Oryctolagus cuniculus: one gene and its partners. The protein of the gene in region 1 interacts with the protein of each later gene in a pairwise test. Links are inferred from orthologs where the notes say so. Each region holds a gene or a part of one and is shown in the gene's direction. Other genes may lie near its edges.

What was found.
Region 2: the proteins of HABP4 (region 1) and RACK1 interact in a two-hybrid assay, tested with the Homo sapiens proteins (2 studies listed by BioGRID). The link is inferred for Oryctolagus cuniculus from reciprocal best matches to the Homo sapiens genes HABP4 and RACK1.
Region 3: the proteins of HABP4 (region 1) and C1QBP interact in a two-hybrid assay, tested with the Homo sapiens proteins (2 studies listed by BioGRID and IntAct). The link is inferred for Oryctolagus cuniculus from reciprocal best matches to the Homo sapiens genes HABP4 and C1QBP.
Region 4: the proteins of HABP4 (region 1) and Y-box-binding protein 1 interact in a two-hybrid assay, tested with the Homo sapiens proteins (2 studies listed by BioGRID and IntAct). The link is inferred for Oryctolagus cuniculus from reciprocal best matches to the Homo sapiens genes HABP4 and YBX1.

Annotation. Positions count from the first base shown.
Region 1 is NC_091432.1:141,253,144-141,260,595, reverse strand, and holds part of HABP4 (intracellular hyaluronan-binding protein 4), read left to right. Parts: intron 1-4,091; coding exon 4,092-4,263; intron 4,264-7,188; coding exon 7,189-7,374; intron 7,375-7,452. UniProt on the Homo sapiens protein: Ribosome-binding protein that promotes ribosome hibernation, a process during which ribosomes are stabilized in an inactive state and preserved from proteasomal degradation.
Region 2 is NC_091445.1:34,929,013-34,936,464, reverse strand, and holds the end of RACK1 (small ribosomal subunit protein RACK1), read left to right. Parts: intron 1-77; exon of another isoform or gene 78-222; 5' UTR 223-534; coding exon 535-643; intron 644-870; exon of another isoform or gene 871-938; intron 939-1,520; coding exon 1,521-1,692; intron 1,693-2,539; exon of another isoform or gene 2,540-2,618; intron 2,619-2,730; coding exon 2,731-2,878; intron 2,879-3,092; coding exon 3,093-3,188; intron 3,189-3,444; coding exon 3,445-3,555; intron 3,556-4,619; coding exon 4,620-4,760; intron 4,761-5,258; coding exon 5,259-5,369; intron 5,370-5,723; coding exon 5,724-5,789; 3' UTR 5,790-5,835; downstream 5,836-7,452. UniProt on the Homo sapiens protein: Scaffolding protein involved in the recruitment, assembly and/or regulation of a variety of signaling molecules. Interacts with a wide variety of proteins and plays a role in many cellular processes.
Region 3 is NC_091448.1:50,898,589-50,906,572, forward strand, and holds the end of C1QBP (complement component 1 Q subcomponent-binding protein, mitochondrial), read left to right. Parts: intron 1-3,379; coding exon 3,380-3,473; intron 3,474-4,460; coding exon 4,461-4,556; intron 4,557-4,792; coding exon 4,793-4,915; intron 4,916-5,034; coding exon 5,035-5,184; 3' UTR 5,185-5,403; downstream 5,404-7,984. Other genes in the region: RPAIN (RPA-interacting protein), read right to left, coding at 5,586-5,615, 6,606-6,746.
Region 4 is NC_091434.1:59,355,215-59,362,543, reverse strand, and holds Y-box-binding protein 1, read left to right. Parts: upstream 1-3,490; 5' UTR 3,491-3,505; coding exon 3,506-4,519; 3' UTR 4,520-5,041; downstream 5,042-7,329. UniProt on the Homo sapiens protein: DNA- and RNA-binding protein involved in various processes, such as translational repression, RNA stabilization, mRNA splicing, DNA repair and transcription regulation.

The DNA of each region.
Region 1 (7,452 bases):
TATGAACATGTTTCCCAAGTTAAGTCTGAAAAATATGGTATTTTAAAATAGCTTCTATTCCTGTGTTTTCCTGATGTATGTTGGAATTTTTTTAAAAAATACATATAGGGGCCACTGCTGTGCAATAGCAGGTTAACGCTCTGGCCTGAAGTAGTGCCATCCGTGTGGGTGCTGGTTCGGGACCCAGCTGGCCCTCTTCCATCGAGCTCTCTGCTATGGCCTGGGAAAGCAAGCCACACTTGTTAGTATACACAGACACTGCAGTGTGAATGTCTAGTGCCGGGTGCACAGCTGTGCTGACTCATGCCGCACTGTTAGTGTGCACACACTGCAGTGTGAATGTCCAGTGCCGGGTGCACAGCTGTGCTGACTCATGCCGCACTGTTAGTGTGCACACAGTGCAGTGTGAACGCCCAGTGCCGGGTGCACAGCTGTGCTGACTCATGCCGCACTGTTAGTGTGCACACAGTGCAGTGTGAACGCCCAGTGCCGGGTGCACAGCTGTGCTGACTCATGCCGCACTGTTAGTGTGCACACAGTGCAGTGTGAACGCCCAGTGCCGGGTGCACAGCTGTGCTGACTCATGCCGCACTGTTAGTGTGCACACAGTGCAGTGTGAACGCCCAGTGCCGGGTGCACAGCTGTGCTGACTCATGCCGCACTGTTAGTGTGCACACAGTGCAGTGTGAACGCCCAGTGCCGGGTGCACAGCTGTGCTGACTCATGCCGCACTGTTAGTGTGCACACAGTGCAGTGTGAACGCCCAGTGCCGGGTGCACAGCTGTGCTGACTCATGCCGCACTGTTAGTGTGCACACAGTGCAGTGTGAACGCCCAGTGCCGGGTGCACAGCTGTGCTGACTCATGCCGCACTGTTAGTGTGCACACAGTGCAGTGTGAACGCCCAGTGCCGGGTGCACAGCTGTGCTGACTCATGCCGCACTGTTAGTGTGCACACAGTGCAGTGTGAACGCCCAGTGCCGAGTGCACAGCTGTGCTGACTCATGCCGCACTGTTAGTGTGCAGATACTGCAGTGTGAACGCCCAATGCCGAGTGCACAGCTGTGCTGACTCATGCCGCACTGTTAGTATACACAGACACTGCAGTGTGAATGCCCAGTGCTGGGTGCACAGCTGTGCTGACTCATGCCATGCTTGTCGGTGTACAGAGCACTGCCAGTTGGCAGGAAGCCCCTCTTTGCTCCTCAGGGCAGCCACTGCTTTCTTTTCCTTCTTAGCACCAGGTATTTTAATGTTGTGCAAATGTGTCTATTTTGGATGTTCTGTGATTAACTTCTGCCTTCTTTTTGCTGTGTTTCTCATGTTATTAACCTGTATAGATATCTATAAATCCTTAAATTACGTTAGCCCTGCAGTGAAGGTATGTTTGTAATGACCTCCCCATTCCCTACTTGCTGTTTTTCTCTTTTAAACGACTTTATTATTCTCATATTCTATGACCCAGACATTTAAAGTATACAATTCCATGGTTTGAGGATATTACATCAATTTTTTAAAATTATGGTAATGTAAATAATATAAAAATCGCTATGTGTACCCTTTTAAAAAAAAAGGTTTATTTATTTGAAAGAGTTACAGAGAAAGACCGAGAGACGCAGAGAGAGGTTGTCCATCTGCTGGTTCGTTCACGTGGCCACAGCGACTGCTGGGCCAGGCTGAGGACAGCAGCCTGGAGCTCCATCCAGGTCTCCCACGTGGGTGGCAAGGGCCCAGGTACTTGGGCCATCTGCTGCTGCTCTCCCAGGCTCATTAGCCGGGAGCTGGATCCTATGTGAAGCAGTGCGAACTCTAACTAGCACTCATACAGGATGCTGGTGTTGCAGTAGTAGCTTAACGCCAGCCCCATTTGTACAATTTTAAAATATACAATTTGCTAGCATGAATTACATTCACGTTATGTATAGCCACCTCTAGAACTTACCACCCCAAATGGAAGCTCTACCCATTAAACACGGACTTCCACATCACCTCCCCTTAGCCCATGTGGCCTCTGTTCTACTTGGTTTTTGTGAAGTTGCTTATTCTAGAGGTACCTCCTGTTTACATTAGAGGAGTCTTTTAATTGTTTTTCTTATTTAACATAATGTTTGAGGTTTATATATGATGTGGTGTGTGCCCGTACTTTTCTTTTTTGCCTGATTTTTGTGGGCTGGTAAAATACTTAAAAAGTTTACAATTTTAATCCTTTTAAAGTTTGTGATTCGGTGGCTTTGAGCACATTCACAGTGGTTTGCAGCCATCACCATGATCCCGTCCCAGAATGCTTTTGTCACAAGGAAACCAGGCCCTCCCCCTGCCCCGCTCCCCTAGCCCCTTATGCCCCCGATCTGCTCTTGGTCTCTCTGAATTTGCCCCTTCTGAACATGGCATCTATATGGAATCAGGCAGAAGTATTGTTGTGCCTGGCTTATCTCACTTGGCATCAGGTATTCAAGGTCCATTCCAGAATACCCTATTTAGTGTATCCATTCATCAATTGATGGACATTTAGGTTGCTTTCACCTATAATACTCTATGACAATTTGTGTCCCAGTTTTCATGTGCATGTATGTTTTCCTAGCGTGAAATTGCTGCGTGGGGTACTGACTCTAGATTCTTAGAACACTGCCAGGCTGTTCTCCCCGCTGACCACACCATTTTACATCCCACCCGTGAGGCGTACGGGCTCCGATTTCCCCACATCCCCGACAGGACTTGTTAAGTGTTCTGTTGTGGAGTGCTGTAGCTCATGGTGGTTTTGATGTTCACTTCTGATGGCTCCAGATGTAGCACGTCTTACCCGGTACTTGTACATCTTCTTTGGGAAAATGTTCAGATTGTTGCCTCATTTTAGTTGAGTCATTTATCTCAACATAGAAAAAACTCGCTATGAATTCCGGGTGATCTCTGATTGGAAGTATTTTATCCTTTCTCTGAGCTGTGTTTTCACTTTCTTGAGGCATCCTTGGTAGCACCAGAGTTTTTAATTTTAATGATGTCCAGTTTATCTGCTTTTTCTTTTTTTACCTATGCTTTTGATGTCATATGGAATAAACCATTGCTAATCTACTCTTACGAAGGTTTTTTTTGTTTTGTTTTGTTTTGTTTTTTAAGATTTGTTTATTTGAAAGGCAGAGTTACAGAGCGAGAGGAACAGGCAAGAGATAGAGAGAAATCTTCTATCTGCTGGTTCATTCCCCAGATGACCACAACAGCCAGGGCTTGGCCAGACTGAAGCCAGAAGCCAGGAGCTTTTTCTGGATCTCCCACATGGGTTCAGGGGCCCAAGGACTTGGACCGTCCTCCGCTGATGGATGGGAAGTGGAGCAGCTGGGATTCAAGCTGGCAACCATTTGGGTAGCCGGCATTGTAGGCAGTGGCTTTACCCACTACACCACAACTCTGACCCCTATGCCTATGTTTTATGTCAAGATATTATACTGGTAGCTCTTGTGTTTATGGTGTGAGGTAGGGGTCCAGCTTCATTTTTGTACATGTGGATATCCAGTTATCCCAGCACTGCTTGTCACTGTTTCTTTCTCTGAATTAATTGCCTTTGGCAACCTGGTATAAGTAAATCAGTTGACCACAGATGTGAGAGTTTATTTCTGGATTCTGAATCTTTTCTATCGATCCATATGTCAGCTTTCTGTTTTTAAAACTGATTAACTTAAAAAGGATACTTACAAAAATATACATTTGTGAGCCACTGTTTTAAAACTTCCATTCATGGTTTCCTACAGTTTATTTCAATAGCTTCTACTATTTTCTTCCACAATTACTCATTTTGTCTGCAGTGCCATCTGGAAGGGAGCACTGGTAGGGAAGTGTAACGGTAATGTCATTTGGATGGTGATGTTCCCATTTCTCATAGACCGCTTTGAACGCAGGAAGTATCTTTGGTTGGAAATGATAGCATAAAATGACGGAATTAGCATACAGGAGCTTATGATTCAAGTATTTTCTTACCTTATTTACATTTGAGATACACCACCACAAAAGTGTGCTCAGCTCTTGGTAATAACTCTGTCTTTGATGAAGTAGACCTTTCAGCCCTGTCAAAATTATTTTTTATGACTATTCATCTTATAGAGTTCCTGAGTTGGAGGTAGAAGAAGAAACTCAAGTTCAAGAGATGACCTTAGATGAGTGGAAGAATCTTCAAGAACAGACCAGACCAAAGCCCGAGTTTAACATCCGGAAGCCAGAATCCACTGTCCCTTCCAAAGCAGTGGTGATTCACAAGTCAAAATACAGAGATGATGTAAGTCTGCGTCTCATCCGTAGAGGGGCCTGGACTCTTGCTCGGTTAGACACAAAATGGGCCTGTCCGCTTCCATTCTAGTATGCAACATTAGTAGTCAGCATTCTCCTTTCTACTTAGGAGTGCTCAGAGGTGATGTGTGTCTAATTTTACTTTGTGTTTACTGTCTATCAAGAAAAGGAGGTGCATTTTTGCTCACCCTGGGGCTGCGCTGAGACGGCAAATACTGTGTGCTCATTGTGTTTCATTTTTATCTCAAGGGAGAGTTAAGACTCCTTCCTGTGTGATGCTTTTCAAAGGATAACTGCTCTTCATTTTCGTAATTAGGTGACTTTCCGCTGTGGTTCTCGGTAAGAGCACTTCATTGGCAGTGGCAGCTCTGGGCTCCGTGTTGCCCTTTTCACGCTGTTTCGGCAGCTTTGCGCCCCGTGCCTCCCAGCAGAAGCTACAGCAGGTAGCGGCAGCCGGCACAGTCAGCTTGCTCAGCAGCCGGCTCTGCTGCGAGCGGGGCCCAGGCAGCTCCCGTGTGTGACGGCCTCTTCTCCTCTGTTCTTCCTCGCCGGGCATGTTCAGTCCTCAGGGGAGGCTTTGGGTCCTTTTTTTTCCTAATGTTGATTTTTTGTGTGTGTCTACTCGAATGGTAGAGCAACAGAAAGACAGAGTGAGTGAGATGAAGGGAAGAAACAGATTGGTCTCCCAGCCATCGATGCACTCCCCAGATGCCCGCAACGTGGGGCTGGGCCAGGCGCCTGAAGCCCCATCTGGGTCTCCCGTACGGGAGTGACGGGGTCCAGGTCCTTGTGCCATGTGCTGCTGCCTTCGCAGGCACAGTTTCAGGGAGCTGGGTCCGACCAGCTCTCTAACGGGATGCGGGCATTTCAAGCAGCGTCTCAGCCCTCTGCGCCACAACACCCGCCCCGGACCAGATGCCTCAAGTTCTGAAAGGAGACGTTTCAGGGCAAATAGCACATTGTGTTTAAGTTATGTGCCATAGGGGTTCACCGAGAGATTTAAATTACAGAATTTGGGATTGGTACTACGCAGTCATAGCTTACGGCCAGTCACCACGGAGGTGGTGGTGACAGCACACGCCTCCTGCCTGTGGGGGCCATTTACTGGTTTTCGTCAGGAATGCATCGATGTGGGTTTGTCTGTGTCTCCACTTTCATTTGAGGGTCATTTGTGACAGTGTCCCCTGCCACCCATCCGTTCTGGTCAATCTGAGCCCTTGGAGGCCCGGCTGGTGACTCCGGAGCCAATTCACTGGACCGGCTTTCTGTCGGTGAGGAAGCCAGAGCCCCCTCTGGGGAGCTGTGTGAGGGCTGTGACAGATCTGGCAGCGCGTGGGGCCTGGCCCTCACCTGTGTGCCTTCTTGCTTCGTTCTGGTTGCTGGCTGACGTGAAAGAGCTGGCAGGATGTGCAGCGTGCAGCCCTTCCTTGGTCCGCATCACATTCGCTCCCCGGCTCAGGGCTCTCGGAACATCTGAAGCAGCCACCTTAGCTGAGTCATTGAACTTGGCCTTCATCCAGCTCACGAGTTTGGTCCTTGCTAACCTTACAGCACTGGAGGATGTATCCAGGGATTGTTCTTGTAGCAACATAGGCCAGCTCTGAGGGTCACCTACTTTCTGTGTTCTGGGCACCCCGAGACAGCAGCACTGGAGCCGTCCGTGTTGACCGCATGGAACTTTGTAGCCTTGGCAGCAGCCTCATGAGATGAGCCCTGGGGCCCCCAGAGCTGGGGGAGGAACCTAAGCCGCAGACTGACTTCTCCTGCATCCCACTGCCCTGGTCCTCGTGCCGGCGGGAGGCCGGAGGCAGCCCTCACCCCCACGTCCTGTTGGTGCATGCTGATGGCCAGCTGTTTCCCGGAGGAGGCAGTGGCTTGCTGCTGTGTCCCTCACTCTTCTGTGTTGATCCTTCCACCCCAGGGCCAGTGCTCCGGCGTGGTCCTTTCAGTTGCAGCTTCAGGGCCCGTCCGCCTAACCCATGTATTTTGTTTTACTCTGAAAGTTTGAAGGGGGCGTAAGAGTTAAACATGAAACCTGCAGTAAACACAGGACCCAAGGATGTTGATATGCTCCTGGAAATTTTATGCCATTTCCTGAAGTTAAAAAAAAAAAGCTGTAGGAATGGTTACCTTTACAGCACTTGGGAGATTCTCATCCAAGCTCATTGACATGTTTCGTTGGTTTTTGTTGTTGTTGTTTAAGGTATGTTTATTAGTTTGAAAGGCAGAGCGACAGAGAGTGAGGGAGAGACCGAGAGAGGTCTTCCATCTGCCGGTTCACTCCCCAGATGGCTGGACCAGGCTGAAGCCAGGAGCCTGGAACCCCATCCTGCTCTCCCACGTGGGTGCAGGGGCCTGAGCAGTGGGCCGTCTTCTGCTGCTTTCTCAGGTGCATTAGCAGGGAATCGGATCAGAAGTGGACTCAGACGGGCACTCTGATATGGGGTGCCAGTGTCACAAGCAACAGCTTAACCCACTGCACCACAGTGCCGGCCCCCGACAGGTTTTCTTATATAGTATATGTTTACATATATGCTTATTATATTTTAACATATCTCTAGATTTTGAGTGAGAATTATTATAAGTCGTGCTGTTTTTAACACATGGGTATTTTGTGCAGTCAGCACCCACAATGACAGACTTCCCCATAAGTGCTGTTCTGGGAAGGCGCTGTGTCCTTATTTATCCAAGTCGTCATTGTGAGCAAATGAGACGGAATAAGCAGGACTGAGGACGTTTTAATCACAGCAGGATGCCCCTTAGCCTGCTAAACTGATGGACATTCGGTGTCCCTTGAAGCAACTGAGTTCAAAGGCGATGTGGGACGCAGGTGCGTGGGGCGGCTCCTCCCCGGGACGCAGCGCCCAGCAAGGGTGCCGGGGGCTGTGCGAGTGATGCTGTAACTGTGTTGTAGATGGTAAAGGATGACTATGAGGACGACTCCCATGTTTTCCGGAAAGCTGCAAATGACATCACGTCCCAGCTGGAGATTAATTTTGGTAACCTCCCTCGTCCCGGGCGTGGAGCCAGAGGCGGCCCCCGGGGAGGCCGGGGAAGGATCCGAAGGGCAGAGAACTGCGGACCCAGAGCGGAAGTGGTGGTAGGTGTTCGTACGCAGGCCCTGGGAGGTGAGCTGAAGGAAGTGACAGGCGGAGGCCGGCCTGGGCCCGCGCAAGTC
Region 2 (7,452 bases), on another chromosome or scaffold:
AATTTTGATGAAACAAAACAAAACAAAAAAAGAACTTAAACTCCTTCCGCGTTGCCAAGTCACCAGACGGAAAGGGTGGTGCTTGCTCCATGCCATCAGTAGGCGGAGATACCCTTAGGCGAGCCTTGTGTGGGACGTGCCGTACAGTTAACTCTTGTGTCATTTCACGCTCTAATGATTATCTGCAGAGCCTTTTTAAACATCTCCTAGTCTCTGTTTCAGAAAGTATTTGTACGGAGCAGCTATATTGTGGTACGTGGCAGAGGGGGCCACAGAAGCAAGTTCATCTCGCCGGTCGCGCTACGTGGCGCCGCCATCTTGAGCAGAGAGGAATCATGAGCGCCGCCCTCTTGAACAGAGGTGAATTATGGGCCACGCCATCTTGCGCGAATGTGAGGATATTTCCGCTTCCGGCAAGGGGCTGTTCTCTCTTTTCCTCGGCAGGGCCGCGGCGGGAGTGGCAGCGCTGCTGGGCTCTCTGTGCTATCCGGTGCCATCCTCGTCGCTGCGGCGACACTCGCACCCGCTGCCGCCATGACTGAGCAGATGACCCTTCGTGGCACCCTCAAGGGCCACAATGGCTGGGTTACCCAAATCGCTACCACCCCGCAGTTCCCGGACATGATACTGTCCGCCTCTCGAGGTTAGTACCCGGTTGTGTGTGTCGCGGGGTTAGACTGGGAACGTGTTATATGACGGATCATAGATCCCTCTGCGTGTTGGGGAGTGCGGACCCGAGTCTCTGTCTCATCCCGGGGGGCCCACGTTGCAGATAAGACCTGGAGGTGTTGTCAGCTCGTGGCTGCCAGATTTGTTGGAGGTTGGCTGGCAGCTAAAGCTGAATGTGCCCAGGAGCCTACAAGGCCGGGCGGGGCGGTGATGAGCCCAACATGCCATCTGAGTATCCATGCAGAAATCCAGAGGCTGTTTCTGAGCTGCCGCCCGGCTCTTAGTTCGCTGGGTAGTGGGTGGACTGCAGGGAACCTTGTGGCTCAGATTTCCGATCTACATTTTCTTTCTGCGAATATCCACCCCATTTTCTCTCCATGTAGACCTTATCGAGTTTGGAGGCGTGTTCTTAACAGCTTAAAAATCGTCGAAAGTTAGGAATAATAATTAGAAATGGTCAGGAGCCCTCAGATACAATGGTACTTGTATCGGTTTGTAGGAGGAGAAATTTTAAGAGGGGGGCGCTAAAATGACTTAGTTAATTTTTCCACAGCTTTCTCAAGCATTCTGGCAAGATACAAAATATATGTTGAATTAGTTTGAATCTCAAGAAGGGGTAACCGTATTCTCTGACACCTGGGTTAGATTTTCGTGCTACAGTTTAGGCCCACCTGCCTGTTTTTTGGAACTGTTGGCCACTGGGCCCTGGCAAATAACCTACAGTTTGTTTCCTCTCGAAGTGTCTTTTTAAGTGTTAACCTACATATGATTTTGTAACATCTTAAATTTTCAATAGGGTCAGCAAGTGGGCTGCAAAGTTCCTCACCAGTTTCCCTTTTGTCTTTCTTTAGACAAGACCATCATCATGTGGAAGCTGACTAGGGATGAGACCAACTATGGCATCCCGCAGCGAGCTCTTCGGGGTCACTCCCACTTCGTTAGTGATGTGGTCATATCTTCAGATGGCCAGTTTGCCCTCTCAGGGTCCTGGGACGGAACCCTTCGCCTCTGGGATCTCACAACGCAAGTAGCTGCTCACCTAGCTGTGGGATCTTGGGGAAAAGCTGGGAAGAAATGAGGTAGATGGCAATTGGGAGGTTATCTTCCAGGAGAAAGTTGAAGTATAAAGTAAAAACTACCTACAGAAGATAGTTATTCGGGCCCCCTCTTAATTTTTTTTTTTCTAAGATTTATTTATTTGAGAGAGTTAGAGACAGTGAGAGGGAGGGACAAAGAAAGGTCTTTCTTCCATTGGTTCAGCCCCCAAATGGCTGCAGTGGTCAGAGCTGCGCCTGTCCAAAGCCAGGAGCTTCTTCCTGGTCTCCCATGTGGGTGCAGGGGTCCAAGCACTTGGACCATCTTCTGTGGCTTTCCCTGGCCACAGCAAAGAGCTGGATTGCAAGAGGATACCCTGGGACTAGAACCAGTGCCCACATGGGATGCTGGCAGTGTGTCACAGCACTGGCCCCTCAGGGGGCCCTTTGATTTAATTATGGTTGCTGAGAAGTAGTCTGGTTGAATTTTTGAGAAAGGTGTTCCTTTTTCCATTGGTCACCCCCCAAGTGGCCACTGCAGCTGGTGCACTGTGCCAATTGGAAGCCAGGAGCCAGGTGCTTCCTTCTGGTCTCCCATGGGGGTGCAGGGCCCAAGGACCTGGGCCATCCTCCACTGCCTTCCCGGGCCACAGCAGAGAGCTGGACTGGAAGAGGAGCAACCAGGACAGAATGCAGCGCCCCAACCGCGACTAGAACCCGTGGCGCCAGCCTGGTTGAATGTTTTTATAGGTGTAGCAATTTGGAGTAGACAGCGGTTGGAACAAGTTTTATCTTGAATTTCTGTTCTAGATAAGCAGTTGGCAAGTATAATGGAGGATCCTGGTGATGACAGATGACATTGTCAGCCAATCCCCATGTGGGAGTGAGGACATGTCCTGCAATTCTGAAGGGATTCTCTGACATAAACTCGGAAAAGACTTGTTAGTGATGCAGTCCACCGGGATGGGGCGAATGCCAGAAAAATGTTGGTAAAGTTTGTCTAGAGTGACAGAGCTGTCTTTCTCAGGGGCACCACCACAAGACGATTTGTAGGCCATACCAAGGATGTACTGAGTGTTGCCTTCTCCTCTGATAACCGTCAGATTGTCTCTGGATCTCGAGATAAAACCATCAAGTTATGGAATACTCTGGGTGTATGCAAATACACTGTCCAGGTAAAGTGAAGGCAGCAAACACATGTTCAAGGTTCCCATGCACCCTTTCTTTTAACCTTTGCCTTATGTGTTGACTAAAGAGATTCTGTTCTTCATGGTTCAGTTAGGAGATGTGAACACAGTACTGCCAATATCCATTCCACCGAGATCAGGGATGGAGTTCTATAGTTTAAGATAGAAATGTTTTCTCTTACTTCCTTTCCATTCTCTGCAGGATGAGAGCCATTCAGAGTGGGTATCTTGTGTCCGCTTCTCGCCCAACAGCAGCAATCCTATCATTGTCTCCTGTGGCTGGGACAAGCTAGTCAAGGTGAGTTTTGAGCTGGCATAGAGGGCTTGTACAAGCCAGAACCCCTTAGGCATTGTGGATTCCTTCAATTGACTTTTCCTCTTGTTGGATTTACTCAGTACAGACCATTGGTTTTTGACAGTTGGTCTTAAATAGCTAATTGATATCCCTTAAAAGCTTTTAAACAAGGTGCCAAGCCTTTTGCTGGGCTTGACTCTTCTCAGTCCTGGCTGATACGAGCTAAATTGTTCACCTGTAACCCCACCCATTTACACAGGTATGGAATCTGGCTAACTGCAAGCTGAAGACTAACCATATTGGCCACACTGGCTATCTGAACACTGTGACAGTGTCTCCAGATGGATCCCTTTGTGCTTCTGGAGGCAAGGTATTTGGGGGCCAGGAGTCTCAACCAGGGGGACAGTCTCATAGAAAGAATACCTTGGGGCCGGCGCCGTGGCTCAGTAAGCTAATCCTCCGCCTTGTGGCCCCGGTCGGGGCTCGGGATTCTGTCCCAGTTGCCTCTTCCAGGCCAGCTCTCTGCTCTGGCCCGGGAGTGCAGTGGAGGATGGCCCAAGTGCTTGGGCCCTGCACCCCATGGGAGACCAGGAGAAGCACCTGGCTCCTGGCTTCAGATCAGCGCCATGCACTGGCCATTGGAGGGTGAACCAACGGCAAAAGGAAGACCTTTCTGTCTGTTTCTCTCTCTCTCACTGTCCACTCTGCCTGTCAAAAAAAAAAAAAAAAAAAAGAATACCTTGGGTCTTCGACATAAACTATAAACTAAGTATTAGCCAGGTTATTCAAGAGTATGTTTCCAAAGGTCACTTACTGAAAATTACATGGGTGAGACATACTGTTCAAAGGAAAAAAAAAAATGTTTTCTCTGTAAAGTTTCTTGAAGCAATTGATGGATCCTGTTTGGAAATGATCATAGTGATTTTTTTGATAACCCATCAGAAAGTTTATGGGGCTATTGATGTCCTCTGTTAAAGGAAAAGCCTGTAGATATAAATATTGGTAGAGTCAGTAGCTTTCAAGAAAGCCAGGGTACTGAAGGATCTGATGGGCAAGAGAGTTTTGTGGCACGGCCCATTAAGCTGCTGCTTTGAGATGCCCACATCTCATATTGGAGTACCTAGTTCAAGTCTCAGCTACCTTCTGAGACACATCCTGGGAGGCAGCAGATAATGGTTCAAGTAGTTACATCCCTGCCATCCATGTGGGAGCCCTGTCATGTTCCTGGCCTTTGGCCTGACCTAGCTACAATTGTTAGTAGTATTTGGGGAGTGAACCAGCAAATAGAAGATCTATCTATTCTCCTCTCCATCATTCTGCCTTTCAGATGACTAAAATCTTTAAAAGCACATTGATGACAAAATCCTGAGGTGGGTGGGATTGACATCTGGGAGAGGTTACATTGTGCTGCTGACTCACCTTCCCTATCTGCAGGACGGGCAGGCCATGCTATGGGATCTCAATGAAGGCAAACACCTTTATACTTTGGATGGAGGAGACATCATCAATGCTCTGTGCTTTAGCCCCAACCGCTACTGGCTCTGTGCTGCCACAGGCCCTAGCATCAAGATCTGGGTAAGCATGAGATCGAATCCTGGCAATGTGACTTAACATGCCATATGGGTTTGATGCTGGGAGTCCCACATACTAAACAAATGCTAACCATCAAGCTGTTGGTGGAGACCTAGAAAAGTTCCCTGGATTGGGATTATTAATGGAGGGGAATATTTGCTTACTGAAAGGGGTGATTATGTATGGCAGAATACGCAGCCTCTGCATAATGGCTTTTTGGTCTGTGTAATTGTGTAGTGGGTCTGTTTAGTGTTAGCATCCCTGACATCTATCCACAAGATGTTGGTAACAGGCCATGTAACCTCTTCCATACCTAGTAGTTGCAACTGAAAATGCTTGTAGGCAATGCCACATGTCCCCTTGGGCAAAATCATCCTGTTGAGACTCTATTTATAAAAAGGGGCTTTTGAGAGGGGACCTCTGTTACTGAGTTTCTTAAAAAGTATCACTGGTATAAATGTATTAACAGTATCCTCACCCTGGTTTTGACCTATTTCTCAGGACTTAGAAGGCAAGATCATTGTAGATGAACTGAAGCAAGAAGTTATTAGTACCAGCAGCAAGGCAGAGCCACCCCAGTGTACATCTTTGGCCTGGTCTGCTGATGGCCAGGTAAGTCTGACTTCTCACTTAACTCACCTTCCAACATTTCTTCTCTATACTGCTATTTTTGACATAAAGGAAAGTGATTTTTTTAAAATGGCTTGGATGATCAAGAAAGAAATGTGGAATGCATGTTCCTTTCAACTGTGATGTGGAGGTAGTGATTAGCCTTCATTTTTATGCACTGATACTAATTTGATCAGTTTTAAGATGATTGTATTCTTATCAACAGCTGTTTCTTCCTCTAAGAATAACAGCCACCAGCTACAGTCTGGTCATTAGAATTAAGGTCCTTTAAAGAAAAGCCCTCTTTGTTGCAGTGGGACGAAGTTCACAACTCATCCTGTCATTTCTCCCTTGCAGACCCTGTTTGCTGGCTACACAGACAACCTGGTGCGAGTGTGGCAGGTGACCATCGGCACCCGCTAAGCATTTTTGGCATGACTATGACAATAAATTGACTTTGACTTATGTAGCAATTGTGTTTTTCTGAGAAACAGAAATGTTCCATGTTAGATTGGTTTGTCATTTCTCCAAAAGGTTTTTAAAAAATTTGAAAGGCAGAGTTAGAGAACAAGGTCTTGCATTCCACTAGTTCACTCTCCAGTAACCAGGTCCCAGGGGCTTTATCCAGGTTTCCCACGTGGGTGCAGGGCCTCAAGGAATTTGGTCGTCTGCTGCTGCTTTCTCAGGCACATTAGTGATGTGCTGGATCGGAAATGGAGCATACAGGACACAAGCTGGTGACTCCAATCTGGACTCTTCAAGATTTCTTTGAAAGGTAGACAGGGATACCTCCTATTTGGTGTGGGTGGCAAAATCAGTACTTAAGCCATCATCAGTTGCTTTCTCAGGTGAACCGCCAGGCAGAGTGGTGGGGCCGGCGCTGTGGCACAGCGGGTTAATGCCCTTGCCTGAAGCACTGGCATCTCATGGACACCAGTTCTAGTCCTGGCTGCTGCTCTTCCAATCCAGCTCTCTGCTATGGCCTGAGATAGTAATGGAAGATGGCCCAAGTCTTTGGGCCCCTGCACCCACGTGGGAGACAGGAAGAAGTTTATGGCTCCTGGTTTTGGATCTGCGCAGCTCCAGCTGCTGCAGCCATCTGGGGAGTGAACCAGTGGATGGAAGACCTCTCTGTCTCTACCTTTCTCTGTAACTCTTTAAATAAATGAAATAATTCTTAAGAAAAAAAGAACTGGAGTGGCACATGAACCAGCATTTTAATAAGGGGTGCTGGCATTACTTTTTCTGTAAAGATTATTTGACTTAGCAGGTGGAAGAAAACCACTTCTGAGTGTCTGCTCATTTGAAGGAATAAGACTCCACAAAAGAAGCAAATAAACATTTTATTTCTGCAACACAAACAACCTTCCCTTTCCCCAAGAACATGAATTGACCTCAGCCTTCCAAGCAGAGGACAAAAGCTGATAAGTGACAGAAGGCAAGGTGTTATTAGAAAAATAGATTATACCCAAGGCTCTCCTCCCAGGGATTTGAACCCCTTGTCCCCATCCCTGGCTCCATGTTAGGGCTTGCCAAAAAGGGAACTAAAAGGCAGAGAGAAGTTGGAAACTAACAGATGCAATTCCAGTGAACAAAGGGGAAAGTCTGGCAGTAAGTAGACCTGGAAGGGCAGGATGGTCCTAGATTCGAGTGCTAAAAAAGGAAGAGGGAGAAAATAACTTACTGGGTTATAAAATGGTATGTAGTTTCAATTGTATCAACCATTCCAGATCTGTCGCCAAAGCTAAGTTCTGGTTGGTTTGTGGAGGTAGAAAATGGGGATGGAAGGAAAATAGAATCCCTCCAACTTCCCCAGGAGAGTGGGTATTTCTATACCCAGCTCTACCCTTTTGCCCAGCCTGCCTCCCCAAAACAGCTTCCAAATCCTTTAGCTAAACTTTGCACCAGAAAATGGGAGTTCAATGGGGATGCTGCAAGTCTTGCCCAAGCCCTCCAGCCTCAGGACTAACATGAGGTTGAAGAGGGGGTTGGGGGAAAGGAATTTTTAGGAATGAAATTAAGATCTCTCATCCCCTACTTGAACTCAGACCCCAGAGCTGGACTGAACAACACAGAGAGGAAAGAC
Region 3 (7,984 bases), on another chromosome or scaffold:
CACGTGGGTGCAAGGGTCCAACACTTGGGCCAGCTTTTTTTTTTTTTTTTTTTAAGATTAATTTATTTGAGAGGCAGAGAGTAAGAGAATTACAGAGAGAAGGTTACAGAGAGGCGTCTGAGCAGGGAGCTGGATCCAAAGCAGAGCAGCCTATGGGTGCCAGCGTTGTAGGCAGCAGCTTAGCCAGCTGTGCCACAACACTGTCACCCCCGCACCCCCGTTGTTTTTGAGGTTCATTCATACTAGTAATAGCATGTACCAATAGTTAGCTTTTTTAATGACAACATAATATTTCATTATGTGGATATGCTAGATTTTATTTATGTAAGGAAATGGGAGACAGACCAGAGGAGACAAGATACGAAGTCAACGGCCAAAATCAATTAAGAAGAAAAATGGGAGCCAGCGCTGTGGCATAGCACGCTAAGCTGCCACCTGCGGTGCCTGCATCCCATATGGGTGCCGGTTCAAGTCTTGGCTGCTCCACTTCTGACCCAGCGCCCTGTTTCTGCTCCTGGGAAAGCAGCGGAAAATGGCTCAAGTGCTTGGGTCCCTGCACCCACATGGGAGGCCTGGAAGAAGTTCCTGGTTTCCATCTGGCCATTGTAGCCATTTGGGGAGTGAACCAGCAGATGGAAGATCTCTTTCTAACTCTGTCTTTCAAATACAATAAATAAATCATAAAGGAAAAAAAAAAAGACAAGTGAATTTGCAAAGATGGCCAACCACTGGCATGCGCACAGACAGAACACGTGGCCGAGAGAGCAGGAATTTATTTACGGGCTGGATTTAAATAGCATAGGCCTGATAAGGGCCATGAGGTGCAGTGGAGCTGAGCTAGCTTTTCTATGGAATGCAGAATGCAGAGGGTAGGGTGGGCAACAGTACAGGGCGTAGGACTGAGCTGGTCTCTTGAAGGAAGGTAAAGGGTCCCTCAGGCAAAGAGCCACAATGCCTGAGGCTCATGTCCTTGTTCTGTCAGTTATCCATTCATTTGTTGGCAGGCATTTGACAGGGTTCTATTTACTTTGTGATTCTGGTTTTTTATTTATTTATTTTTTTAATTTTATTTATCTGACAGATAGTTATAGACAGAGACAGAGAGAAAGGTTTTCCTTCCGTTGGTTCACCCCCCAAATGGCTGCTACGGCCGGCGCTGCGCCAGTCCGAAGGCAGGAGCCAGGTGCTTCTCCTGGTCTCCCATGGGGTGCAGGGCCCAAGCACTTGGGCCATCCTTCACTGCCTTCCCGGGCCACAGCAGAGAGCTGGCCTGGAAGAAGGGCAACTGGGACAGAATCTGGCGCCCCGACCGGGACTAGAACCCGGTGTGCCAGGCGCCGCAATGCAGAGGATTAGCCTATTGAGCCACAGCGCCGGCCTTTACTGTCGTTTTGAAAGACAGATAGCTCCCATGTGCTACTTCACTCCCTAAATATTGAAATGTCCAGGTATAGGCTACGCTGGAGCTGGGAGCTGAATCCAGGTTACCAGGTTATTGCCTTAAAGGTGGGCTTTAGATATTCTGGGTGCAGTTCCCCTTATCAGACACAGGGTGTGCAAGTGTTTTCTCCCATCCTTGGGTGTTTTTTTCCTTTCCCTATGTTATTGGTATTGACATACACTTTTTTTAGTTATTGTTTGACTACACCAAGTGAACTATTTTTTTAAAGATTTATTTATTTATTTGAAAGAGTTACGCAGTCACTCCCCAGTTGGCCACAACGACCAGAGCTGTGCCAATCCAAAACCAGGAGTCAGGAGCTTCTGCGTCTCCCACATGGGTGCAGGGGCCCAAGGACTTAAGCCATCTTCTATTGCTTTCCCAGGCCATAGCAGAGAGCCAGGTATGGAGTGGAGCAGCCGGGTCTCAAACTGGCGCCCATATGGGATGCCTGCACTGCAGGCCAGGGCGTTGACCCGCTGTGCCAAAGCACAGGCCCCAACATACACTTCTAATTTTGATGAAGCTCAATTTACTGGGTTTTGTTTTTTGTGTATGTGGGCTTTTTTTTTGTTTTTTTGTCATTTGTGCTTTTTTGACATCACATTTGACAAACTGTTGGGTAACCAAAGTTTCTAGATATTTATGCCCGGATTTACTTGTAAGAGGAGTTTAGCTCTTTAGGCCCGTGATCACTTTGAGTCAACTTTTGTGTACAGTGTGAAGTGTAGGGTTCTGATGCTTTTTCCCCTAGGGTGCAGGGGTTTCGCCCATACACAGTGTCAGTTGACGACTGAAGCTTCACTTGAACTTTTCTTCCGGTTTTCGTAGCCAGTTTGGGGCCGTTAGAAATGATACCCTGATGAACAGTGCTGTGTTTCTGTGTCGAGGAACTCAGCTTGGTCAGCGTGGTTGCAGATAGTTTCTGGGGCTGAGCCTCAGCCTGCCGCTGTTGCCTTGGGAAGGAGCAGCCCGTTAGCTGAGCAGTGGTGTGCAGGGTGCGGGGTCTGCGCTGCCCAGCCACACCTGGTCTACCCCACTGTCACAGGGATTGTGACTCAACCTTCGGAACATGGAATGTCACGAGGATTCTTGTACCTTACGGTTGTCATGTGTTGGTGTTCCAGCCCGTGGGATGAGTCCACAGTGAACGCACTGTCCTTTGCCTGGCCTTGTCTTCCAGGGCGCAGGCCTGCTCTGAGTCCTCAGGTGTATCCCCGCAGTGTGCCTTCCCTTCCTCCCAGCGGCAGATTTTGTCATGGAGAAAGCTTTTTTTTTTTTTTTTCTTTTTAAAGACTTGTTTGTTTGAAAGGTAGAGTTGTAACTCCGGTTTACTCCCAGATGGCCACAACAGCTGAGGCTGGGCCAGGCTGAAGCCAGGAGCTTCCTTCAGGTCTCCCTCATGAGGGGCAGGGGCCCAAGCAGTAGGGTCATCTTCCACTGCTTTTCCCAGGCCATTAGCAGGGAGCTAGCTCGGAAGTAGAGCTACTCCACGAACCAGTGCCCGTATTGGATGCTGGCATCATAGGCAACGCCCTATCCTGTTGTGCCACACCACCAGCCCCGAGAAAAGCTCCTAGAGGGGCTTCTGTTCCATCCCCCCAGCTTCTTATCTGCTCACTTTCACGATACCCCACCCCAGTGAGCAGTGTCAGCTGGTGGTAGGTAACCAGCAGGCGCTAGCCTGATGGGAGGAGCTGGTGCATGGCGTCATCACTTGGAGCTCTGCACATGGAGGTGTGCTGGAGACCTGCTCCCTCTTAGGGCTGGATGTGGGTACCCAGCCTCTGTCCACTTCTGCCAGTGTAGACTGTCAGCTGGTGAAGGGGAAACATCGTTCCTATCAGATTGTTTCTGTGTAGCAGGCCTCCATACCTAACGGCTAGACTACTCCACTACAACTGGACCATGTCTGTTGCGTTTCTTTTGACTTTGTAGGATCACTGTCACTTTCAACATCAACAATAGCATCCCACCAACCTTTGATGGTGAGGAGGAGTCCTCCCAAGGACAGAAGGCTGAGGAACAGGAGGTAAGCTCGTAATATCGTGCCCAGTCTGTGCCTCAGCTCCCCCAGGGGCCTAGAGAAACACCAGGTTTTCTTGTTTTTGTTTTCAAAGATTTATTTGAAAGCAGACTGACAGGGACAAAGATCTTCCATCCTCTGGTTTACTTCCCACATGGCTACAGCAGTCAGGGCTGGGCCAGGCTCAAGCCAGAAGCTCCATCCAGGACGTCACCCATGTGCCAGGCCCATTAGCAGATAGCTGGACCAGGAGTGGAGGAGCTAAGAGCCTGTGGACAGGAAGCAGAACTGAGTCCTTCCCATGACGGGGAGATGTGTGCTATCAGAAATCACCGTTTTCTTTTCCCCGGGGGAGGATGTTCCTAAGTCAGAAGCTGGTGGAAAGCACCAGTCACCTGGCCAGAGTAGGAAAGCCAGGGGCAGCAGAGATGGCATCACTTGGCCAGGTGCGATCTTGGCTTGCCGGCCGTATCGGTGGGAGCTGGGGGTGTCTGGTTTTCTGACATTTTAGGAAGTGGTATACTCAGCCCGGAAGCCCGCCAGTATGAAGGCCAGAGGGTCTCTGACCTTCTGACCGAGTTGTCTCACGCGCCTGCAAGGAGAGCCCAGCTCCCTGAGCGCTTCCATCTCAGCCGCCTGGACTGGCAGCTCCCTGACTTTGGGCTTGGTCTGCTCCTGTCACTGAGGGCCGGGCACGCCAGCCTCTGACCTGGGCTGTAACAGACTCCTGAGACAGCCAAGCCGGAAAGAGATCTTGGCTGTGTGGCTGGCTTTGCAGTGTGTGGGTGCAGAAATGGGTTCAGGAAGTAGAGAGATCTGAGTCTCAGTTGAGTGCATAGAGCTGGGGCTGGAATGCAGGTTTAAAGTGAGTGTAAAGGGCTAAATATCATCCTGACAGGGGTGGCCATCAGATGCTCAGAAGCGTTGGAGGCCTGGCCTGGGCTCTGACCCCTTCCTATAGTGGCACACGCAGACGTGTTTTTGTTTCCTCAGCCTGAACTGACATCAACTCCGAATTTCGTGGTTGAAGTTATAAAGAATGATGGCAAGAAAGCCCTCGTACTGGACTGTCACTTCCCGGAGGATGAGGTGGGTAGAACGGAGTGTGGGCCCTTGACACCCAGGGAGATGAGGGGTGCCTCCTGGGACTAGCAGACACCTGTGGGAGACTGTGGCTTAGAGCAGCAAAGCACGGGAGACAGGTGGCGCGTGGAAGTCAGCTCAGGGTAAAGCTGGGGTTTCACACTAGAAGTGCTCCCTTTTCCGTGCACCTGTCTGGCTTGTCCTGAAAAACCCGTGTTTCCTGGAACACTGTTCCTTCCCAGGTCGGACAAGAGGAGGAGGCTGAGAGTGACATTTTCTCCATCAGGGAAGTTAGCTTTCAGGCTTCCGGCGAGTCTGAGTGGAAGGACACCAACTACACACTCAACACAGACTCCCTGGACTGGGTGAGTGACAGGGTGGGGTGCTCTTGGGCCTTGTAGGGGAGCGTCCTGCCTTGTTCAAGGAGAGAAAGCAGCATTGTCATTAGTGGGCATTACACAGTGTAACACACTGTTTTCCGCAGGCCTTGTATGACCACCTGATGGATTTCCTGGCAGACCGAGGGGTGGACAACACTTTTGCAGATGAGCTGGTGGAGCTCAGCACCGCCCTGGAGCACCAGGAGTACATAACTTTCCTTGAGGACCTCAAAAGTTTTGTCAAGAGCCAGTAGAGTAGGGACAGTGAAACTTGTCTGGCAGGCTGTGGCCAGCGAACAGAACCTGCTCTGACCCCCAGACACCCGTGCGTTGCGACGGTTACCATCCCAATATCATGGAAAATAACATTTAAATTATTACTGTTGCACTCTCATTTTTTTCTGTACAAACTTATTCTAGATTTTTATATAACATACAATGATGGACAATAAATTTGGTTTTATCTCCTCCAAGGTACTTCGTTTTTTCTGTTCCTTGACTTTCAACCTAGACCACGAAACAGCAAGAGCAGAGGTGTTTGAAAAGTTTTAATACAAAATAAATTATAAGTTAAAGGTTGCTATGTACAAGGCCTCTGCTGGAGAGGGAGTGAGTTGTGGTCGGCCCAGGAGAACGGTGCGAATGCAGGCCAGCTCTAGACGATCACAGCCCAGGTGTCACAGGCCTGGAGTGAAACAGGACATATCTGTTAGGAAAGTTACCCACATCCGTGGCCAGAAGCTGCAACCAGTAATGACACTGAGGCAACAATTAGAATGTCTACACCCTGGACGGTGCTGGTCGGCTTCAGTTACAAGTGGGAATGAGTTCAGCCAGAGCGGCTGGTCCTCAAAGGGGCTGCTGGTGGACCGACCTCCCAGGCTTGCTGGAATGTCTACCTTTGACTGTTCATCCCTGGGAGCCTGATGAACCACTGTGCTTCCTCCTGTTTCTCACCTCCCCTCCAAAACGCCCAACAGTGGGCTCGCCCGTCCTGGAACCAGCTCTCGCTATGAAATCCATACCTCAAGTTTTCATAATACATGTTTCCCATGAACTTTCTGAAGACCCCTCGTGCACAGATTTTAGACATTTTTGTGCCAAAATAAAAATATTTTACTTCCATACCCTATGAACTTTCTGATCACCTTAATATATGTGTGTGTATATGTATATGTAATATATCACTTATAAGAAATAATGGTTCCTGTAGCAAGCTTAAGGCGTCTAAGACAGGTGGCTCCAGTACCTCCTTGTGTAGTCCTGTCCCTCACACCTGAGTTGCCAGACACTAATCCTTGGACTTCTGAAGACTTGCTGAAAGGTGGCCCTGCTGTGCGTCCTGTCCTGTACCCACCTGCAGGGGTGTCAGGGTGACCCACTGGGTCTTAGGACTACCGAGCTGACTACACAAGCACAGTGCAGGTGGGCTCCCTGACCCTCCCCCACCCCCACCCCCACACTCCTGCCCCACTCCTAGGCTGCCTCTTCCCCTTCACACAATGATTGGCCTCCAGCTGAAATGACTTGTGGCCTTCACAGTTCTGTGCCAGCAATTCCTCCAAGAAAAAAAAAACTGCATTAAACATTGACCTGTTTGGGAGCCATTATTTTTACTAGAGTGGGAAGACAACACTGAGCTGCTGGTAACCACTGGGTCCCAGGAGAGACTTACCAGACAGCTCATGAGAAGACTGGGCTTCTCCTCTGTTCCACCGGTGACTGAAAATTCAGGGGTGTGGGGACAATGGGTGCTGTGCTCATTCACGCTGTCCTCTAAAGACGCTCGAAGCATCTGCTCCGTCAGCTCTGGAGACTAAAAAAAGTTCGACCACAACCGCGTCTTAGTTACCTGACAGCTGACAGGCTGAAAATCCTGGTTTCTCTTGCTAACCAGCGTAGCACTGGCTCCCTGGGATGGCTTCCTCCCCCACAGTTGGAGATCTGCGTGGGCTCATGGCTGCTGGGAGGATCTCTGAACCAGTGTCCACTCACCACCTCTCCAGATTGCCCAGGGCACCCCCCGTTCCTGAACTTTGAGAGCTAGGAGGACAGGTCCCGGCCTCGGCCCCTGCCCCTCCTGGCCTGGTGTATCCTTGCCAAGAACTGGCAGCATTTGCTCCCAGAGATCTCACTGAACCTGCTGCCACTGCAACTCCGATGGCAACCAGTAATAAAGGGGATGGAAATCAAGTTTCAGTTTTATGATGAGAAGCAGAAAGTTCAGGAAGCACTCAAAAAGGGAAGTTGCTTTTGAAAAAGTTGGGTGGGCATTTGGTACATTGGTTAAGATGGGCCCATCCCATATTGGAGTGCCTGGTTCGGATCTGCTCCCACTCCAACTCCCTGCTAATTCACACTCTAAGAGGCAGCGGATGGTGGGGCACGTAGTTGGGATCCTGTCATGCACACGGGAGACCTGAACGTTCCCAGCTCCTGGCTTGGGCTGCTGGGAGTGAACCAGCAAATGGGGCTGGCTCGTGCTTGCTTGCCCGCTCTCCCTCCCTCTATACACACACACACACACACACACACACACACACATTCACACATTTATATACTTCTGCCAATCAATTTTTTTAAAAGCTGTTGAAATACATAAAAGATGGGAAAAAAGAAAAAAATCCTACAGTTGTATGACTAGTTGCTTTATCCATTGCTAACAAACAAGAGTTTTCTATGTAGAAACAATGACTCAGCTCCCCAGCACAGCCCCACTCAAAGACTGGTAAATAAACTTAAGAGGTGTCAAATTTACCGTGGTATGTTTCATTTTTATAATTTTCCACTGGAACCAACGGCTCAACTCACTGACTATTTGCAGTCCCCATGTCAGGTAAGAGACCACCTCCCCTATTTTTAAAGATCACCAAAACTTACATTCTGAATGGAAGTGTGTCTTCACACAGGAAATTTTAATGAAAGGTCACATACGGGCATTTCCAGTTCTAAACTGGGGTCTCTCTTAAGCAGTGCCAGCGCTCTAGGGGAGGAGCCCGTGGAGATCTGTGAGGTTTGCCAGTTTGCACACCATATGTACTCTCACCACATTCA
Region 4 (7,329 bases), on another chromosome or scaffold:
ATTTGTGAAACCTTTCCAGGTCTACCTTGCCCTGATTCCATTCTTGGTTTTCTTGTAGAAGTTTTCTTTAGTCACCAGAATTTCACTGTGTCTGCCAGTCATTGTCTCTGCAATGTCTTATTGTACCTTTTAAACTTTGCATAGGGGAATGTTCTTTGATATCTGTAACTCCGCATTTCAATGTGGGCCTCTGTTGGTCAGTACAATGTGATGGATTCCTCACTGATTTATTTGTCCCACTATTTTTATACTAATCAATTAATTGATTAATTTTATTTGAAAGGTTTGGGGGGGCAGGGTAGACAGAGAGCAAAAGAGAGAAAGAGAGAGAGAGAGAGGTCTTCCATCATGTGGTTCACTTCCCAGTTGCCCTCAACAGGTAGAATGACTAGACCTGCCCAAAGCCAGGAGTCAGGAACTCCATCTTCGTATCTCCTGTGGGTGGAAGTGACTCAAGCACTTAGGCCATCATGTGTGTAGCCTCCCAAGTGTACATGATAGACAGCTGGATTGGAAACAGAGCTGGCACTTGAACCCAGGTACTTCAACATGAGATGCAGGAGTCCCAAGCAGAGGTTTAAGGCTAGACCATTTCTCACAAATTTTCTAACCTTCCTGTCTTCCTAATCTCCTTGAGTTCGCCCATCCATTCTTCCTTCTGTCCTTCCTTCCCTCTCACCCTCCTTCCCTGAGAATTTCAAAACCAAGTCCAGAACTTTTGAAACCAAGCATCAAGTACAAGTAGATTTCCCTGAAGGTTTTGCCTTTTTTTCTTTTCTGTTTACATTTTTGTAATGTTCTTGTTTTAAAGATGTTTAAAATGGTATTAAACAATAGTGATATCTTTTCAAATGAATCTAAGAGATTCATTGAAAACCATAAAAGTGGAGAATTTTCTTTCCTTATTTAATGTTACATTTTAGTAGTAGGCTGTGGGGAGCAACTCGGACTATACTGTTACTGGAATTAAGACTTATTCTATACATCTGCTCTCCCACAATATGGTGCTGGGAGAGGAGCAAACAGCTTCTACACAGCTGCTACTCACCAACTTGACAAGCTGCAGGAGCTGCTCCTGATTGGAGGAGAGCAGCGTGCTCAGCGTGTGGGTAGCAGAGTTGGGATTGGTGGAAGAGGACTATAAAGGAGGAGAGAGACAACATGCACCAGGAACATCTAAGAGGAACACCTGTGCAGCCCCCGAGAGAGCCGGCCGGCGGTGTGCCACTCCCCCGCGGAAGTGGGGAAAGTGGCAGGGGGAACCGCCCTTCCACGGAGGTGGGAGGGACGGTAGCCAACCTGGGAAGAACCAGCAGCAAACCCGGGGAGGGCCGAGCAGACAAAAGAACAGTGCAGGGTCTAGTGTCGTTCCTCCACGAAGACGGGGAGCGACATAATGGTGCCGTGACTCGGATATGAAGCCTAGGCAGGGTTTAGTGTCATTCCTCCATGAAGGGGGGAGCGACATAATGGTGCCGTGACTCGGATAGGAAACCCAGGAGGGAAGAAATGGGAAGAAGTGGGAAAATACCGGAGAGAGAGACTAGAAGAGCCTAGGGAAAAGCCGGACGGAAAAGGTGCCGGAAGAAGCTATTGAAAGCCTAGGCATAGACTCGGATACGGACTACGAGGGGAAGCTGGGAGAAATCTCTAAGGTTGAAAGCGAAAGTGAAAGCTAGAACAAACAAACTTGGATACGGACTGTGGGGAGAAGCCAGGAGAAATGAAAGGGGAATATTGTTGGAAGAAAAGTTAGGAAACATACCGGGTAGAGAAAAATGTTAGGGAGGATGAAGCCGCAGGGGCAGGCCGAGGTGGAGACGTAAGCTAGCTTGGAATTCTTCAAGTCAGCCCAGGGAGCAAAAGGCGAAAATCTGGAACCAGAGGCAGAGACGTGGGCCGCCAGGTTGGAATCCGTCAGATTAGCCCGGGGAGCAAAAGACGGGAAGCCAAACCGAAAGGCGCAGACGTGAGCTAGGTTGAATTCGCCAAGTTAGCCCAGGGAACTTAGACTGAATACCGGTGGCGGAAACGTGAGCTAGGCTGTGTGATTTGCGGAAGCTGCCGCGCGCAGAGAGAGCGTGCGGGGCACGAATAGATAGGGAACGTGGGGCTAGCGCAAGGCTGTGGTACGGGTGTGAAGGGGAGCGGAGACCGCGGAGCATGCGCGAAGCCGGGAAGTGGCACAGAGCCGGGAAGCCGCTGCGGGGCAAGGTGCCAAGAAGCAGCCTCGGGGCGGGCGCCGGGATGCCGCAGGGATAAGAGAAATAGAAGTATAGAAGTAAAATGAGAGAAATAGGAATGCTGGCAGATAGAAGTAAAATAGGAGAAATAGGAATGCCTGGAGATAGAGAAATAGAAAGGCCTCCCCACAACACGGCAATGAGAGAGCTTGGATTCGGTCTGCCTGATTAGTAAGACGATAAGCACCTGTGAGCGGCTGCATGTCACCGAAGACAGGCACGTTATCAACACCAATAAGTCTCCCCACAAGACGGCGATGATAGGGCTTGGATTCGGTTTGCCTGATTGGTAGGGCTTGTAAGCACCTGCAGGCAGTTCTAGCAGAGCAGAGCATGCGCTGCAGGGCACCGAACACAGGCACGCATCAGCGCCTAAAAACCTCACAACATGGCGAAGAGAGGACCCGGATTCGGTTTGCCTGATTGATAGGACTTGTAAGAACCTGTGGGCAACTCCAGCAAGCAGAGCAGAGTGTGTGCCACGGGGCACCGAAGACAGGCGCGTATCAACGCCAAAAAATAAAAAGAAAGGGGGATCTGTGGGGAGCAACTCAGACTAGACTGTTACTGGAATTAAGACTTATTCTATGCATCTGCTCTCCCACAATATGGCGCTGGGAGAGGAGTAAACAGCTTCTACTCAGCTGCCTCCAGTTCAACCAATAAACAGCAGGACCTGCTCCTGATTGGAGGAGAGCAGCATACTCGGCGTGTGGGTAGCAGAGTTGGGATTGGTGGAAGAGGACTATAAAGGAGGAGAGAGACAACATGCACCAGGAACATCTAAGAGGAACACCTGTGCAGCCCCCGAGAGAGCCGGCTGGCGGTGTGCTGCTCCCCCGCGGAAGTGGGGAAAGTGGCAGGGGGAACCGCCCTTCCACGGAGGTGGGAGGGACGGTAGCCAACCTGGGAAGAACCAGCAGCAAACCCGGGGAGGGCCGAGCAGACAAAAGAACAGCGCAGGGTCTAGTGTCGTTCCTCCACGAAGACGGGGAGCGACATAATGGTGCCGTGACTCGGATATGAAGCCTAGGCAGGGTTTAGTGTCGTTCCTCCATGAAGAGGGGGAGCGACAGTAGGCTGAAACAGTAGTAGATTATTTAGAAATAGAATTAATGTTGTGTAGGATTATTAATAATGCTGATATTTTGATACTTAAAATGGAAGAGCACTAAAGATAAATCATTGTATGAGGCAACCTCAAAGTTCATGGAAAGTGGAATTTAAAGAGAAGTATCTGGGTACAAACATGTTTGAAATGCATGTTTTTAAAAATAATACACATAGTTCGATCGGTAGCGGGAGCGGAGAGCGGACCCCAGAGAGCCCTGAGCAGCCCCACCGCCACCGCCGGCCTAGTTACCATCACACCCCGGGAGGAGCCTCAGCTGCCGCAGCCGGCCCCAGTCACCATCACCGCAACTATGAGCAGCGAGGCCGAGACCCAGCAGCCGCCCGCCGCCCCCGCCCTCAGCGCCGTGGAAACCAAGCCCGGCACCACGGGCAGCGGCGCAGGGAGCGGTGGCCTGGGCAGCCTCACATTGGCGGCGCCCGCCGGCGGGGACAAGAAGGTCATCGCAACGAAGGTTTTGGGAACAGTAAAATGGTTCAATGTAAGAAACGGATATGGTTTCATCAACAGGAATGACACCAAGGAAGATGTATTTGTACACCAGACTGCCATAAAGAAGAATAACCCCAGGAAGTACCTTCGCAGTGTAGGAGATGGAGAGACTGTGGAGTTTGATGTTGTTGAAGGAGAAAAGGGTGCGGAGGCAGCAAATGTTACAGGTCCTGGTGGAGTTCCAGTGCAAGGCAGTAAATATGCAGCAGACCGTAACCATTATAGACGCTACCCATGTCGTAGGGGTCCTCCACGCAATTACCAGCAGAATTACCAGAATAGTGAGAGTGGGGAAAAGAATGAGGGATCGGAGAGCGCTCCCGAAGGCCAGGCCCAACAACGCCGGCCCTACCGCAGGCGAAGGTTCCCACCTTACTACATGCGGAGACCCTATGGGCGTCGACCACAGTATTCCAACCCTCCTGTGCAGGGAGAAGTGATGGAAGGTGCTGACAACCAGGGTGCAGGAGAACAAGGTAGACCAGTGAGACAGAATATGTATCGGGGTTATAGACCACGATTCCGCAGAGGTCCTCCTCGCCAAAGACAGCCTAGAGAGGACGGCAATGAAGAAGACAAGGAAAACCAAGGAGATGAGACCCAGGGTCAGCAGCCACCTCAGCGTTGGTACCGCCGCAACTTCAACTACTGACGCAGACGCCCAGATAACCCTAAACCACAAGATGGCAAAGAGACAAAAGCAGCCGATCCACCAGCTGAGAATTCGTCCGCTCCCGAGGCTGAGCAGGGCGGGGCTGAGTAAATGCCGGCTTAACATCTCTACCATCATCCGGTTTAGTCATCCAACAAGAAGAAATGAATATGAAATTCCAGCAATAAGAAATGAACAAAAGATTGGAGCTGAAGACCTTAAGTGCTTGCTTTTTGCCCATTGACCAGATTACTAGAACTATCTGCATTATCTATGCAGCATGGGGTTTTTATTATTTTTACCTAAAGATGTCTCTTTTTGGTAACGACAAACGTGTTTTTTAAAAAAGCCTGGTTTTTCTCAATACACCTTTAAAGGTTTTTAAATTGTTTCATATCTGGTCAAGTTGAGATTTTTAAGAACTTCATTTTTAATTTGTAATAAAAGTTTACAACTTGATTTTTTCAAAAAAGTCAACAAACTGCAAGCACCTGCTAATAAAGGTCTTAAATAAAAAAAAAATAATACACATTATCCATGAACTTTTTGAAGATCCTTTGTACAGAAGCACAGGGTGGTAGTTGAGGGTATGAGTTTGAACCCTTCCTCCCACTCTTGGTAGTGTGATGTTTGTGTCCTTGTTTCAGATTCCCCATTTGTAAAGTTGGAATGATGATAATACATATTTCATTGTGATGTCATGTGTAAGAATTGTGAATAGTAAGTGTATCATAATTATTAGGGATTAAAGAGTAACTTTTCCTCTAAGTTATGCTTGCTAATATGTCAGTTGGGCTATATTTTTCTGCTGCAGTTATTAAAAGGACTTGTGTAGAGCTTTTGTAGGATTTTGAAGAAGGAATAAAGATCCCTCGCAGAGACCTTGAACCTAGAATCAAGCTCACAGTGACCCGGTTTTTGTAGAGTTCTGAGGTCCACTAGTGAGTCAGGATCAACCTAGATTTATGAAATTGCAGCCATGGAGTGTGACACTACTCCCTAAGAACATTTATCTCTGTGTTGAACTTCATACTAGACTAGAATTAAATAGAATAGAAGTAAAATAATAGAGGACAGAAGTGGTTGGCCTTTGTAGGCTGTTATTGTGTATGAACTAAAGAGCGTGATTATTAGTGGTCATTGGATTTGGATAAGCCAGTCTGAGACCATGATACTAAATTTTTTTTTCAAAATAAAATATTTTGATAATTTTGATGTTTAATACATTTTACTCTTGCTTGCCACCGTACAGGCTGGAGGAAAGGTCTTGGGAATTTTGTGCTTTCACATCCTGTGTGACCTTTAAAACTTGGCATTTTACTTTTCACTACCCAAAATTACTTGCACGTCTATTAAATTTCTAAATATCAGTTATCATTAAGAAACGCCACCACCATGCTTAATTACTTGTGTAATCAAGGGAGATAATATAATATAGTAAATGTTAGTCTAATGGATTTAGGGCTTGCTAGGAAAATCTAAGAGGCCTTTTGGATTAAAGACCAAAAGGCCGCTGACCAAACCTCATAGTACTGGGAGCGCCCTCTGCTGGTCATGTCCAGATCAACTTAATGTCTGCACCTTGTGGAGCAGAACTATTTGCCATTTATTGAACACCTACTAGGTGCCAGGCAGCTTACACCACAGGCATAAATTTGTGTAATCCTCATAGCTCTAGAATGGTAGTTTTTAAGATATTGTCATATTTGAGTTGATTTGATCCCCTTAAATCCTGTGTATTTTTTTAATCTGTTTATATAGGTGAAGATATTATGAAATCATTTTCACTGAGAAGTTACTGCTTCTATAGAAAAGATATCTTGAATGAGTGGCTATTAATAAAACAGAATGAACTAGAGTCATGAAGTTTTCCAGTTTATTTTAAGAAAAACCTGAGAGTAGGAGGGAGGAGTTGAAATGTGTGAGAATCAACTTACGATAAACGAGAACCTCAACTTAAAGAAAAAGAAGTCACTGAAGTAAGGGCCTTCCCTATTTTGTGGACTGGAAGACAAGTCGGGAGTTTGGAAGGATCAGATCAGTGTGTGTCTCCCCTTAGTCAGAAAGCCAAGCTGAGAGCACAGTGACGCAGGCAGGAGCACCAGACATGTGCTTGCATCCAGAAGTCCCAGGCTTCCCCGCAACAGACTGTTTCACTCAAGCTGGCCACAAGTTCTAGAAAGAAGAACCTAAGTCTGACCTTTGTCACTTCTCCAGTGGAAATGCCAAAATATCAGGAAGTGATCTGAATGGAGGAAAAGGTCAGGGCAACACAGAGACCAAGTGAGTGATATTTTCCTGGAATACTAGCAAGTCGGTGCTACAGATGATGCAAGTGAAATTGAATCCAGTGCATTCCTATGTCTGAATCATTTGTAAGGCTATAGAGTAGTGGCAAGCAGCTTAGAGATCAAGGCATTAATTTTATTCCAGTCTCTTCTATTTGCCAGTCTTTTCTATTTGGATTTGGCCAAGTTATTTGACTTCTTTTTAAAAGATATTTATTTATTTGAATGAGAGGTAGAGAAAGGGTAAGTAAGGGAGAGAGGGAATGCAAAAGGGAGGGAGGGAGAGAGAGTTAAAGAGAATGGGAACAGGAACCCATCTCCCATCTACTGCTTCACTCCCTAAATGCCTGTCTGTAACAGCCAGGCCTGGGCCAGACCAAAACCAGGAGCTTGGAACTAAATTCAGATCTCGCACGTGGGTGTCAAGGACTTGAGACATCAGTCCTTGACAGGTCCAGGTACTTGAGACATCATCTGCTGCTTCCCAGGGGAGCTGCAACTGGAAGCAGGGCTGAGACTGGA